Linked DNA regions of Mus musculus. The protein of the gene in region 1 interacts with the protein of each later gene in a pairwise test. Links are inferred from orthologs where the notes say so. Each region holds a gene or a part of one and is shown on either strand. Other genes may lie near its edges.

The links.
Region 2: the proteins of Golga2 (region 1) and Nebl interact in binary tests that used the Homo sapiens proteins (3 or more experiments, as listed by UniProt). The two-hybrid records come from large-scale screens. The link is inferred for Mus musculus from reciprocal best matches to the Homo sapiens genes GOLGA2 and NEBL.

Annotation. Positions count from the first base shown.
Region 1 is NC_000068.7:32,303,502-32,310,282, reverse strand, and holds the end of Golga2 (golgin subfamily A member 2), read right to left. Parts: intron 6,700-6,781; coding exon 6,362-6,699; intron 6,142-6,361; coding exon 6,028-6,141; intron 5,650-6,027; coding exon 5,404-5,649; intron 5,325-5,403; coding exon 5,249-5,324; intron 5,074-5,248; coding exon 4,988-5,073; intron 4,809-4,987; coding exon 4,590-4,808; intron 4,511-4,589; coding exon 4,408-4,510; intron 4,307-4,407; coding exon 4,200-4,306; intron 4,124-4,199; coding exon 3,967-4,123; intron 3,878-3,966; coding exon 3,663-3,877; 3' UTR 2,370-3,662; downstream 1-2,369. Other genes in the region: Dnm1 (dynamin-1), read left to right, coding at 646-718. UniProt on the Homo sapiens protein: Peripheral membrane component of the cis-Golgi stack that acts as a membrane skeleton that maintains the structure of the Golgi apparatus, and as a vesicle thether that facilitates vesicle fusion to the Golgi membrane.
Region 2 is NC_000068.7:17,458,200-17,465,931, forward strand, and holds the start of Nebl (nebulette), read right to left. Parts: upstream 4,658-7,732; 5' UTR 4,468-4,657; intron 2,347-4,467; 5' UTR 2,340-2,346; coding exon 2,259-2,339; intron 2,158-2,258; coding exon 2,086-2,157; intron 1-2,085. UniProt on the Homo sapiens protein: Binds to actin and plays an important role in the assembly of the Z-disk. May functionally link sarcomeric actin to the desmin intermediate filaments in the heart muscle sarcomeres.

The DNA of each region.
Region 1 (6,781 bases):
CCTTTCCAGTGAGCCTCGGGACTCAGCGCCACTACTCAAGGCCTTCTTGCTTAAACTGAGGGCTCTTGGAACAGGTTTCATGTCCAAGACGGTAGATGTGGGTGCTCCCTGGAGACACCAGACCACTGTTGACAGTGTAGGGACTAAGAACTAGGAGAGGGTGTCTTCAGCCTCTGAAGGGGCCAGAAGCGTTAGGACCCCCTCTTCATACCTACTCTGAACTATGCTGCCAAGATAAGAGCTTTCTCCTTCCAGCCTAGGAGCATGGCGACTAAATTCACCACAGGGCAAGCATGAGAATCGCGCTGGCAAAGCCAGGCTCTGACTGGTGACTTTAGACAACTTAAGAGCCTTTGCCTTTCTGCCAGCGCCTGAGGGCTCGCAGGCAAGGTGAGGATCTCATTCATCCTTGACATTGCACACCTGTAGCTAACAGCCACCTCGTCAGCCCCCGACATAGAGCCAGCCCATCAGCTCCAACATTTGACCTGTTTTCAGAGTGACCTGTGCCTTTTAGCCGAAGGCAATGCATTGTCTACTGACTGGGAAAGTCAACTTGAGTTCTGCCTGGCTGGCCACAGATCTCGGTTACCCTGTCCCAACTCTTCCCCAGCCATTGACGCTCACCCTTCTGCTTTTCCCCAGCAGGAAGGGCCCAGCCTCACCTACGAGACCTGCAGCCCCCCGACCAACGGAGGCTCCCCTCTTAGACTTATAAGTCTGTGGCCGCAGGCATCGGCTGCCTGCCTCCCAGCCTCCCCAGGGTCCCCTCAGAGGACTCCTGACTTTCTGACCACCTGAGGGGCCTCCAGCGCTCCCTCCAGCCATCCCCTTTAGCTTCAATCTCCTGGTTCAAGCACTTCTGGCCTCATGGCTGTTACATGGGACTCCCTGAGGCTTGGGGTGGCCCTGAGCCAGTGAGATGAGAGACAGTGAGCAAAAATGAGGGAGGCCCTGTGGTGCATTGCCTGGGTGGTGTGTGAGAGGCCGTGTGTGTGGCAAGAGAGGGCCACCAGCCTCTACTCAGACTACCTGCTAGTTACGGCCCAGCACCCCATCTTCCCTTTCATTCATCAACTGTGCATCTCTTCCGGGAACCCTGCCCACATCCACACCTGCCTCAGCCCCTGCCTCTGCTGGAGGTGGCTGCTCTTGCCTTACCAGCTCTCCTTCCTTTTCTCTCTTCCGTTCTCTCTCGGCTTTCTCTCCAACTGCCAGCCGATCGGGTCAGGCAAGTCCGTCCCGTCCTGAGAGCCCCAGGCCCCCCTTCGACCTCTAACCAGATCCCTCCTACTCCTCGGAGACCTCCCTTACCAAGCCTGCCTGGACAGCTGTTCTGTGACTTGACAGTGGCTCCCCCGGCCCCAAAGCGTCCTATTCATCATCTGTGACTTAGTCTGTTGTAGTGGTGAGCTGACACATCCAGATGTGATGTTGGTGAAAACTTGTGCCCCTCTGTGGTATTGCTCCTGCGACATTCTATAAATATCTATAAATATACCTATATATACATATATATACATATATATGGCTGACACAGCCTCGCCTGTAGTGTCAGAATCAACCACCATGCTGTCCTTGTGGAGTCTTGTGGTCCAACAAGGGAACGCTGTCATCCTGACAACCCCCCCTCCAGTGTACCACCTCCAGTGAGCCCCCCTGTCCTCCTGGCCTGTGAACAGCCATCCCCTTGGCCATCCCAACCCTGCAGCAAGGGGATGCTGCAGCAGCAGCAGCTGTGCAGTTCTCTGGTAGCCACCAGTCTTGCTGTCTCTTGGCTGAGAATAAAACCCATTTCTGGATCATGGGGAATTGCGTGTACCTCTGCTGGTTTGTATTCTCTGGGGCTGAGAGGACGGTGTAAACTGGGCACTGAATGGAGGGTGAGGAAAGGCCCTTGCTAGGGTGCTTGTGAGTTTAGCAGGTCCTCATCCTACGAATCCTGCTTACACCACTAGGGGGCAGTATCATGAGCTCAGCCAGGATGCTGTGAACAGCCTAAAGAACAAAACAGGTCTCTAGTGTGGACAGACTAAGGGGAAGGGTCGGAATGTAAGAGGCCTGGCCTGGAAGTCAGCGCCCTTAGTTGCTGCACCCCGAGTCCCACCTATGTATACTATATGTCAGGCTTGACTCTCTTACTCAGTAAGGAAGCTCTGTCCCTGTAGCCCCATGGTACTCCCCCTGGGGTCCCTAGGCTTCAATAGGCAGTGTATAGGTGATAGGTGTCAATCAGCCCTGCCAGGCACTTCAGACCTTGGGCTCCATACAGGCCAGAAGCCTGCTCTCTCCAGGCAGGACACATTCCCTGCTCAGTGCCAGCCTGAGGCTAACCCCAGAACCAATGACGAACACCCTAGGCCCAGCAGTATGGCTAAATCCATTTATTTCCCAAGTAAAAAGCAAAATAAAGAGGAGCTGCATCAGCAGGTGCCACAACCTTGTCTCCGCCTCCTGCCCTCTGACCTAACACTACCAATAAATAAGGTTCCCAGCCCAAAGTGATTATTAGAAGCTCTTCCCATTTGCCAGCTCCAACCTCCACTATGATACAGGGGTGTCCCTACCCCGGTATATACAAAATAGTACACAGGTACAATATGTACACCGGGGGAGGGGAAGGCCACCCTGCCCCAGCAGCCTCTGTCCTGCTTGGCGTAGTTACCCCAATTGTCATAAGGCCTGAGAGAATGGTACCCACTTTCCCTGTCCCAAAGTGCCTCAAAAAGATGGAAGCCCTCCAAAGTGGGATGCCTTCCTGAGGCAGTTAGCCCCAACTGCCTGAGGACCCATGAAGTGCTGCCCAGCCCCACTGCCCTAAAGTGCCTCTGAGAAGATGGGAGTTGATCTGGGGACCTGCTGTGCCCTGGGTTCCATCCCCAGCATCACCACACAAAGGAAAAAGGCAGGGAGTGCTGGGGGTAAATCACTTGGTAGAGTGCCTGCTTAGCACTGCCAACCACCAGGCACAGCGGTGAGGCAGGGGCTCAGCTCGGGCTACAGGAGACACTCCGTAAAGAAAATGAAGATAAAATGGGGGCGGGGAGGAAAAGGAGGATAGGGAGGACTGAGCCGGTGAAAACTTAGAAGCCCTGCTGAATGCTAGGCCAGTTTACCAGCCTGCACTGCACCTGGGCACGAGAATGCTGCCACTCTGTTCTGCCCCAGAGTCCTGAGTAAGGCCTGAGGCCCTCCTTGGTGAGAAAGCCCCCAGGCCACCCAGCACAGTCTGCTCCATCACTGAGTCTCTGGCGTTCTTTCTGTAACAGGAATTTACAAAGTAAAACTGCCCTGGCTAAGAGGCAGATCTGTACCAGTCTGTGTCCCCCATTAAGATAGGAGCCTGATCTTTTGGTTTTTTCAGACAGGGTCGCATGTAGCCCAGTGTGGCCTCAAACTCACTAGGTAGATGAGGATGGCTGATTCTTCCACCTCCACTTCCCAAGCACTCAAATTACAGGTATCAGCCTTTTCAGAGGTACTGGGGACCCAAGGCTGTGTGCACAGCAGGCAAGCACTCTACCAACTGAGCTACTTCCCCAGCCCCTGGAGGGGATGGAGTCTGACCTTATTATTATTATAAAGATAAGGGTGGCTGAGGAAGGGTGTGGGTTGGGGCAGAACCTCTGGCTGCCCTTGCTGAGGCTTTGGCCGCCAGTCTTTTATACAACCATGATCTTCACCTCGTCGTTCTCATCGGCACGGTAGAAAAAGGGGATGCAAGGGTTGCTACCCAGGCCTGGCCGCTCCCGGGGGTTCTGGATCTCACGCAGCAGCTGCATGATCTGCTGTGCAGTAGGGTTCTCATGGGGAGCAGGTACCCCTGCCTCTCCTTGTGCAGGCTCTATATCGTCAGCCAGGCTCACCTCCCTGAGGTCTTTAGAGAAAGGGGGAGGGGGTCATGGCTCTGCACGCCATGGGACTCCTCCCCTTTGTGCCTTCCCAAGAGACAACAGCTCTACTCACCATCCTGCTGGTCAGCAGCACCAAATTCCTGGGAGCCTGTGGGCACTGGGGTGAGCACGTCACCAGGGTTCTGAGAGACGGCCAGGAACTTGCCCTGCCATTCATTGCGCTCGTTCACAAGCCTCAACACCAGCTCCTGGAGCTCCAGCAGCTTCACCTGGAGAAAAAGGAGCTCAACTTGAAGGGCCCAGCCCAGATTAGGCAGGGCCTGGACTACAGAAGTGTAGGCCTACCTTCATCTCCTCCTTGTCCTGAGCCAGCCGGCTGATGTATTCTTCCTTCTCCAAATGCCGAGCCTTCAGCACCGCCCTCTGATTTTGGTAAAGGGCAATGTACTCTCCTGTGGAGACGGCAGGCAGGTGGACAAGGCTCAGACACTGTGGCTCCCCCAGTCTACCCCCCTGCACAGCCCCCACTGCCTTGGGCTGGGCTCCACCTCACCAATGGTGTCTGTCTCTCCAGAAAGCTGAATGCAGCAATGTTCAAGCTCCTCTACCCTCTCCTTGAGCTCCACTTTCTCCTGCATGACCTCCAGGAAGCGGCTCTGGAGCCAAGACAGAGGTCTCAGGGACTCAGGAGCCCTGGCTGGCCCCCACACTCCCAGCCCCCACAGACAAACTCACCTGCAGCTTCTCCATGGCTACATGTAGGGCCTGATTGCTCTCCTCAGATGCAGAGTCATCCACATTCCTGGGGACCACTGCCTCCTTTTCAAGCTTGCTTTGGACTGGGGCTGCCAAGTGAGACAAACTCCGGCAACGTGCCTTCTGCTCTTTCAGCTGCACACGTAGTCGGGCCTGTTCTTCCTCTGCTCTGGCTATAGCGGCATTAAAGAATGCCACCTGCACACAAGAGGGAGGTGTGCCTTTCAGGGAAATGCTCAGGACAAAGGGGGCAGGGCAGAGAGGGAGACTGACCACTGGCTTCCAGGCACAAAGTGGCAATCAAAAGAAGTCAGAGGGTAGGAAACCGAGGACCACAGAGGTAGAAAAGAGAAGGGGCAAGACAGAGCCCAGCTCACCATGGCCTCTCTACTGTCTAGGTCTTCTGGGATGGCCAGACTCGACTGAGGAACCTCCTCATCTTCTTCCTCCTGGTCCACATCTCCTGGGGGCAGACAGTAGGTTGTCTCCTCTAATAATCCCATCAGGTAGACTGAGTGGGCTAGGGGAAGAGAGCTCAGAGCCCCACCTCTGTATCCCTACTGAATACCCTGGGGTCAGCCCAATCAAAGCTTCTCCAAATACATCAACTCTAGTCCTCTCCTCCTGGGTGGTCTTACCTTCCCCAGGGAGGACCAAGAGGCTCAGCTGGGCTTGGAGCTGTTGGTTCTCCTGGCTGGTAGCTTTTAGGCGCTCCTATGGGGCCAGGAAAGAGTGAGAAGGCACAGAGGAGGCCAGGTCCTCCCCCTGGGCCCAGCCTTAACAGCTGCCTCACCTGGGCCTCCTGCAGCTCCTGGCGGGCCAGCTCGGCTGCCATCTTGCCCTGTACCTCCTCATGCTGCAGCTGGTCCATGAGCTGAGTCTGCAGCAGAAGCTGCTTGTGTATTGCCTCCTTCTCAGAGGTCAGCTGCTCATAGGCCGCCAAGTGCTGTTGGTAAGCAGCAGCGTACTGCTGCAGGTGGGACAGGCACTGGTCTCGCTGCTCCTGTAGACCCTGTGCTTCTTGGCTCTTGAGCTCCACCTGCAGGACGGCCAGGAATGAGGGCAGTGCCTTTGTAACCAGCCTCACACCCACCTTTCTCATCACTTTAGGCCAAGAGTGGAAAGCAACCCACCCTGTTCTGCACTAACTACTAGTGCCTGATATTTTATGCACATTTCTCATTTAACCTTTAACACTTCTCTGAGGAAACTCATCTTTTAAGTTCAGTGAATGGGTTTGGAGATGGGAAGCATTTGAACACATGGATGTGAACCCAGCCTGAGCCCAGAGCCTTATATAACCTACAACTATAAACAGCAGCTTCTGGCCTTGGCACAGATGAAGAGCAGTCCAGGACTGCCTGCTCCAGGCTGCAGTTAGACTGTTATGACTGGCACCCCCCGTGGTAGGCCTTACCGTCTCCTTCAGCTCTCCCAGTCTCTCCTGCAGCTCTCCCAGCTTCCGGGCTAGCTCTTTCTTGACATGCTGCTCTGACTGCAGCGCACTGGTGATCTCCATGTTCTCATTGGTCTGGACAGAAGGCAGCAGTCAGTAGGACCTAATGTGGCAGGGGTCCCCAGAATTGCATGTGTGCTCCCTCCCACAGAGCAGGGAAGACTGCTGGATCATTCCCACACACCACAGGTCTCTGGATTGAGAGGTGCTTTGACAGCTAGCACCTCATGTGAGGTGGACAGCACCCTTGAGGGTTACATTCCCTGTGAGCAAGGAGGGCCTGCAGGATTCGCACCAGCCTGACGAAGCCGTTCTGCAGCTCGGCCAGCTGCTCCTTCAGCTCTCGGTTCTGTGACAGTGCTCTGCTGATGGTGGTGCGGTCACTCTGCATGCTCTCCAGGATCTGCTTGCGCTCCTCGGCCTGCTCGCTCCAGCGCTGGGCCTCCCGCTCCAGCTCCAGCAGACGCCCCTCCTGCTCCCGGTTGAGGTGGCTCAGGCTCTCATTGTCCTGCACCTGAGCCCGTAGCTGTCCCGTCAGCCTCTCCAGTTCCTTGTGCAGCTGCTCGACCTCTCCCTGCAGCTGCTCTTCCGCCTCGGAGGGCCCAGCTGGAGGCTCTGGAGGCGGTGGCTCCTCTGAGAAAGGAAGTAGGCACAGTGAGGGGGTCCTCTCTTGGCTCTACTGGGAGTCAGGCTCCCTGCCCCAAGCTCTGGCTTC
Region 2 (7,732 bases), about 15 Mb from region 1:
AATATTTGGTTGTTAGCTTATTTGGTTTGCAGTTGAGAACCTTGTACATGCTAGACACACATTCCGCTCCTCAACTGTAATGTCAGCCCTAATATTTGGTATTAAGATGATGGTGTAAACCCTTCATATAATTTTTATTTTAGAAATTAGTGTATTTTTTCAGAATCTTTATTGATCCATGTAAAAATTCTAACAGCTAAACGAGTGTCTTATCAGTACGGAAGCCTACGATGAAGTGAAATATGAGCACATATCCAGTCATGAATTAAGGGACAATAATCATATTCTAAATACTTAAGTAGTCCAGACATTCCACCATGAAACATAAATCTACAATAAACAGAGATCTCTCCCATGTGCTTGATCTCACCTAAAGAAGAGAGAATGTGTGGTGCTGGCAGTCACCGAGTATAAAAAGCCATTGTGCCTCCCTACAAGAAGGTTCCTAAGTCACCAATAATAATCCTCCCCCAAACACTCCAATATATCACCTGCCGAATTAGAGCTGCAGCCCAGCAATAACTACACTTCAGTGAAAACATACCAGAGTGGGAAGAGGCAGCACCTTCAAGCTGCCTCTAAATGGTGACATGGCTGTCACTAAGTAGATGTGTGAGGGAGTAACAAGCTTTGCATGGGTATTCACTCTGAGAAGCAACAGTGGAGTAAAGTGAAATGGCGGACGTGGGGCGGGGGGAGGAGGGCGATGAATAAGAGTCCCACCCTGACAATCAACAACACCTGGCATGTGGTGCTCAATACATCTTAACTGCCACTGGTGTCAAGATCATAATTATCACAGCCAATGTCTTATTATTGCAGTTTACAAAACATATTTCACATGCTAAGCAACTTCTGGTTATAACTAAGCAATAACACAAATAAATAAATAATTCAAAGTTGAATTATGTAACATGTTATGCCAAGAATTTGGGAAGAAGTATGCCCATTTTTATCTACTACAAAGTTGGTCAAAAGATAAAAAAGTTACCGATAGAGTAACTTAGGGTAGCTATCCCTTATCAGTCACCACAGTGTTTTGAAGAGTAACTGCAGCATTTTTTATGTACATCTCATCTTAACTATAATCATTATACTTGAAGAGCTAAATCCACCAGCATCAATAATATTTCCAAGGTTATTGTCGAGTTGACTCTAGCAAGTTGGCCTTGGAGAACTGACCAAAGTATTACGCTACTGCCTAGGAAACAAACTTGCAAATTACAAAGAACAGTTGCAGCCAGTTTTGTGCTCAGCTCCCTGAATTCAGATACAAACACACTTCATTTCATAGAGCTCCATGTTTTTTAAGCCAGTAGTTCTCTTACATTGTTTATGAGTATTTGGTGGGTTCTCATACCAAGTAAGAAATAGTCTTGCTTATAAATTTAGAATTCTAGTTTATAAATTTATCATGTATGTGGATGTGTTTACATTAAATAACTCTAGGATTTCATTTGGAATAGCATATAAACTAGCTTTAGTTCCTAAAAACAAAATTTTTTTAATGATATTATCATGTGAACCAGTGTTTGCAGTGTACAATTCCATTAACACATACACACACACATACACACACACACACATACACACACATACACACACTATATTGCAAAGAAATGTTAGATGCAATTAAAAGCAAATGGAAAAGTATTGACTTTGACAGAAACTTCAAATGGCCTTCAGAATGTTAAGTACTATTCATTTAGATAAAGGCCTTCCATATTGAAAGTCATTCACTTAGAGATCCTTCCAAGACAAATGATATCGTTCTGCTAATTTTAAAGTCTTGGGGGTTCTCAAACATGAGCTTGATAACACAACACCATAAAACATAGTATGACTACACAACCCGGAAGAGACAGAATCTGGATTAGGAATGAGGACAATTATTCCATTAGACAATCACTGTCTATATGACCTTGGTGAAATCACCTAACATGTCTGGACTTAGTTCTATGATCTAGAAAATGACAGTGCTCTAACTGGTAACCTCGGGAGTTTTCTCTCCAGCCCCATGACTCTACAACACAGCCATTCCACGTAAAGGAAGCAAATAAGATAAAAGTCTTTAAAGCCACTTACGTCACTAATGAGCTCGGTGCACTTTCTGGCCAGTTCCATGCTGAGGTCTTCAATAACAGGTTTCAGAGACACCTATGTGAAAATTAAAAAGAAAGAGGGAGGGAGAAGGTCTGATTTTCCCTTATCTGTTAAAGGACAGAGTTCTGTGCTTAAGTGAGTTCTTTCTTGCTCACCTTGGCTTCCTGGTTTTCTTCCTGCTCCACATTTTCCTCCTCAGTTTCCTCTTTTACATCCCCGGATACAGGTACCTTCATCTTTACCCTATGAAGATATTAATGCTTTCAAACTGTGTCTTCTCAGGAACTACCACACCCGTGAGCTACCAAGTCTCTGGGGCACTGGAAGCAAAGGCTTGCCAGACTTTATCCCTGGCTCATGTCACTCCTTATCTCAATGGTGTGTCAGTGAACACCCAGGAGCCTCAGGGTCTGCCAGGCCCAGCCTCACAAGTGAAAACTCTCTCCTAAGTCAAAGCTCAACTTTACAAACTTAAAATCAACATTCTTAGGATAGCATAGGAAACCCAAGACAAAATGGTTTTTTTTTATCTTCTACTAATGAATTTTAAATCAATTAATCAATTAATTTTAAAAATTGTTTTAAAGGGACTTGACAATTCTAGAAATCTACTCAGCTATAACACCTAAGATAGCACCGGCCTAAAGCCTTTATCCCAAAGATATCTCAACTTGGTCTAAATAAAGCCTCCTCTGGAATGTCAGTCATTCTGTTTCCATATAGAGACTCCGTACCATACAAATTTATTTCATTAACTTAAATTAAATGTTTTATGAGGTTTTAGTGTACTTCTCACATCCCCCAAAACTACTCACTTCATATTAGCTGATTAGAGGCTAATAATTTATTACAAAAAGCCCTTTGAACCACTTCAAAGAATCTATTCTGAGTTAATTACAACTGCTAATCTCAAATTAGGGAATACTGTACCATATTAATCGTAAACATCATTAAACATGAGAAGTTGAAGTTAATATATGTTGATATATTATTTAAGACTTCAGGAAACATCGCTGCATTGGAAATAATTATGCTCTGCATTTTTGTCATTGTGTGAATTTTCACTAACTCACTAGTATCTTTTATAGTCTCACTGTATCCCACACTTGGAAAACTAAGAAATTACATTACCATATTTGTTGTGTAGACTATCTTACTAGTTCAATAATTAAGAAAACTCTTCTAAATAAATCCTTTATTGTCGATTTAAGCAATTCTAAGAATCTCTCATTCCTGATGTGTTAATTTGGCTGTTTAAATTTTAAGGTAAAATTGCTTTTTATAAAAGTATTGCATATCAGTGATCAGTGTTAGAAAAACACCCCATGGTGACTAATTAAATTAATTACATAAAATAGAGCTTTATCCAAAATAATACTTCATTCCTACATAGCCAAATATATTTTGATATCATCTTGTTTTCAATTTATTTTTAATAACTTGTAAAATATTTTTAATTTAAAAAAACACCCTGAAGTTAAGAAGATCTAATGTCTATATATCCCATTGAACATCTATGAAGGTAGAATAGTGATTCTGAAGTTGTGGAGCTAGTTTCATGTTACATTTTATATAGTCTTAACTATTGAATATCTATCTCTGTACACGTCCTTATCAGTTTTTAAAAGAAAAATGCCCCAGCCTTATCTAATAAGTCATTCGAATTCTGAACATCCATCAAAAACCATACTGTTTCTCACATGCTTTTCCAAAAGGCAAAACTGTACCACAAAAAAAGGTTGATAAGGCAAAAAACAATGACCTAAAACAAATCTCTTCAAGAAACCTATAAAGAAATTTCTATAGTTGTCAGGATGAGTGTTACACACCACAGTGACACATGCAGAGACCTGTGATGACCGTCAATCAAAAGCCCTACCCAACTTACTAAATCTTTCCCTTCTAAAAGAAGAATCCTGTCTGCCTCCTGTTTCCACATCTATTCTGCCTACTATTGTCTCTTAATGGCATCCAGTGCCCTCTGTGAAATGTGACTTAGGAAAACATTGTTACGTCTGACTAACTTCTTCATGATTTGCTGGCTTTCTCATTAAACAGTTTTGAATAGAGGTCAAATTAAGGGTATCACAGACCCCACTTAACCAGCAAAATGCCAGAAAGGAACTGTCCCCGGAATGCTAAATTGGGAAACTTTGAGATAACAGCCATGTCGTCCCTCACGTCTACTGGAATTCTTTTCGTTTGTTATAAACTTGTCCTGTAAGGAGAATTTGCAATCTATAAGTTTCCCTCATGTCCTCTCCCTAAGGCTGTCTTTTGCTTCTGTAGAGGCTCCTCTGTGCTACCTTCAGGAAGGAAATGCTTTCTACGGAGGAATAATTTCTAAAAACTTTTCTTGCAAACCTTCAGAAGTACATAGGAAAAAATATCCCAACGCTGTCCAAGATGAACCTCTTAGCTTCCACTTCAGATGACAATGCTCATGTTGCTTTGGGTGATGTCTGTTTCCATAGTGAATGGCGTGCCTGAGGCTTAAGCAGGATTTCTTCTCATCTTCAATCTTGCTGTGAGTTCTTAATGGTTCTTCGCTGGGCTGCAATAAAATAATCAGTTAACCTTTAATGCACAAAAGTTTCAAAGACACACCAAACACCACACATAATATGAACATATTTTTTCTTTTAAGAGGTCAGAATCAGAATTTTAAAGTCACATTACTAAAATCTTTAAAGCTTGCATTTCCAGCCAATTTAGGAGATGGGAGCAAAGCAATCACAACTTCAAGCCCAGCCCAAGCTACAGAGAGAGCTTCATCCCAACCTGGACAACTTAGCAAGACCATGTCTTAAATAAACATAAAAAGATGGCTAGGAACACAGCTGGCTTATTACCAAGTTTGCTTGCTTCTATGCAAGGCCTTCTGTTGGGCCCCAGTGCTGACAACCATCACAAACCCTCACTTAGAATGCTTTCCTTCAGAGAGGACAAACAGAAGGCTAAGAACAGTGAACTATTTGCTTCCTTTGCAAAACAGTGTGATAGGAACTGCTTAGTACACACTGATGCCTGCTTAGTACACACTGATGTTGTTATGCTGGTTCTACACCAGGATAAGGAGATCCAGTAGTAAGTAGCACATACCCTGGCAGGAAAAAAATCACCTCAAAACTTGCTGAGTGAACTCTTTAATGGACTTTCTGGCAAGCCACATACACCATTACTTTTGATTTAGTGTGTCTTCTTTTCATTTGCATAAGAAGATAGTATAAAAGTCATGTCAAATTTCCTCTATATTTTTTAAGCCCTGATTTTATCAGTCAAGCTTTTCTGTCAATAGGTATAAACTCTGACTTGGGGAATTTGTTAGAAAAGGGTCCTTAGTGGGCAGTTATTACGTTTCAAAAATACCTATCCTTTTTCGTAAATCCTAGTGTAAGTTTAATGTTGTATTATCATAAATTACAATTGAGTTCTGAGCTGAGATGGGAGATACCAGAAAATATGATGCCTCAGACCATGGGATGCTTTAGATTACAGACACTGGGGAATCAGCAGAATCTGGAAAGAGCTCTTCTTTGAAAATTCTTTATTTACACAAAGGCTGCTTCTACCAAAAGCGAACATAGTGGGCTTCTACCATGTTATTTCATCAACCAAGAAGAGGAAACCAAACACCCAAAGCCGAAACAAACTTTGTCTCAGTCTGTTGTCTTTCTGAGTCTATATCTCACCACCCCCTCCCCCAGTAAATCATTTATTCTTCCCTAAAATTGCCTCCATCTTGACTCAATACTTTCTCCCATATGAAGATATAATATGAAGGGGTATATAAGCCTTTAAACCCCATTTTCTTATTGGGCCCTCACAGTCATACAAAAGAAGTCAATGGCTTTAACTATCTGAATATACCCTTTAACCAGAGCCAGAGAGCCAGGCAGGATCAAACATCTTGATTACTACACAAAAAGGAAGATGTATATGTATGTGTATGTGTATGTATAATGTGTGTGTGTACAAACACGTATGTATGTATGTATGTATGTATGTATGCATGCATGTATCCCTTTCCTAAAGTTTTATGTGGAATGTACTAAGAATGGTTGTGACCAATCCCTGACACTATTAATGATACTCTGTTATGCTTTCAGACAGAAAAATGCTGTCCTCTGAGAGGCTCCACACAGGAGCTAACTCAGATACAGACACCAATAGCCAAACAGTGAATGGAGCTTGTGGACTTTTATAGAAGAATAGGAGGAAGGATTGTGGGCCCCAAAGGGGATGAGAACTCCACAGGAAGACCAACAGAATCAACCAACCTGGACCCTTGGGGCTCTCAGGGTCTAGACTGAACTACCAACCAAAGAGCATACACAGGCTGGACCTAGGCCTCTTCGCACATATATCACATATAAGCAGTTTGGTCTTCATGTGGGTCCTCAACAAGTAGAGAAGGGACTATTCCAAAAGCTGTTTCATGTATGTGGGATATGTTCTAGCTGGGCTACCTTGTTTGTCCTCAGTGGGAGAGGAAGCACCTAGCCTTGCAGAGATTTGATGTGCTGGGGTAGGGGGATACCCAAGGGTTGCCCCTGCTCAGAGGAGAATGGGAGAGGAAGGGGGAAGGAGGAAAGGCTGTGGGAGAGGGTGACCTGGAGGGGAGCAGTGAAGGAATGGATAGTGTATATATAAAAAATAAAATAAAATAAATTTAAAAATAGAATAGTTGTGAAAGACTTTGACACTGACATAAAAAATTTGAGTATCTTATCAAATGCTTCTTTGTAACTATATTGTCCTTTGACTGTCTTTAAGCTATGCTGTAATTCTTCATGCTGAAAAAATGATAATAATCTAATCTTTAGGAGTGTAAATTATATCTTAGAGGACACAATTGATTATTGGCTCTGCATCCAGTTTTAAATTCATTTCAGCATTCCTTCCTATTTATGTATCTATGAAGGCCATTCACTTTGAACCAACTGCAACATCTTACCAGTCCCCTCATTTACTGAAATATTTGAGAAGCACTTATTTTGTATTTTATAAGAATCACATATTTTTAAAAATATATCACTTAACAGTTATGAATCTTTTCATTTCTTTAACATTTAGCAGAACAATAAAGAACAGGGGACTCAGTGGAGAGCGGGCTCTCAGTTATGAAGCATCCCTACGACAATGCTTAGCATGAGTTGTCATAACCAGCCTCTCATTTTGGGTTGTTTTCAAGTCTAACTTTGTTTTATTATTGACAAGTGCTATATGCATGCGTGTATGTACATTCACACATACCGCAAACACTATATACACACTCAGGCAGAGTTAATTCACTCCAGCTGCCAGTTCCTGTCTGAAAAGCAAAAATGGCTCCAATAAATGCAAAGATTTAATTATTTCTCACATCTGGAAAAACTTGAACATGAAAATGGATTTATTGAAGAAGCTCTTGGTTGGCTGTCAACACCCCATTCAGAGCCAGAGAGAGAGAGAGAGAACAGGCTTAATCACTGTTGGCAATTCTTTAACGCACTCAGAAATAGATGGCATGCCAGTTAGTTTGTAACACGGTTTGTTTACAGGACTTCTGAGTTTTATGGAAGCACAGTAAAATAAATAATTCCATAGTCACTCATGTAAAAGAAACTGTTCCTCATGTTGGGTCTGG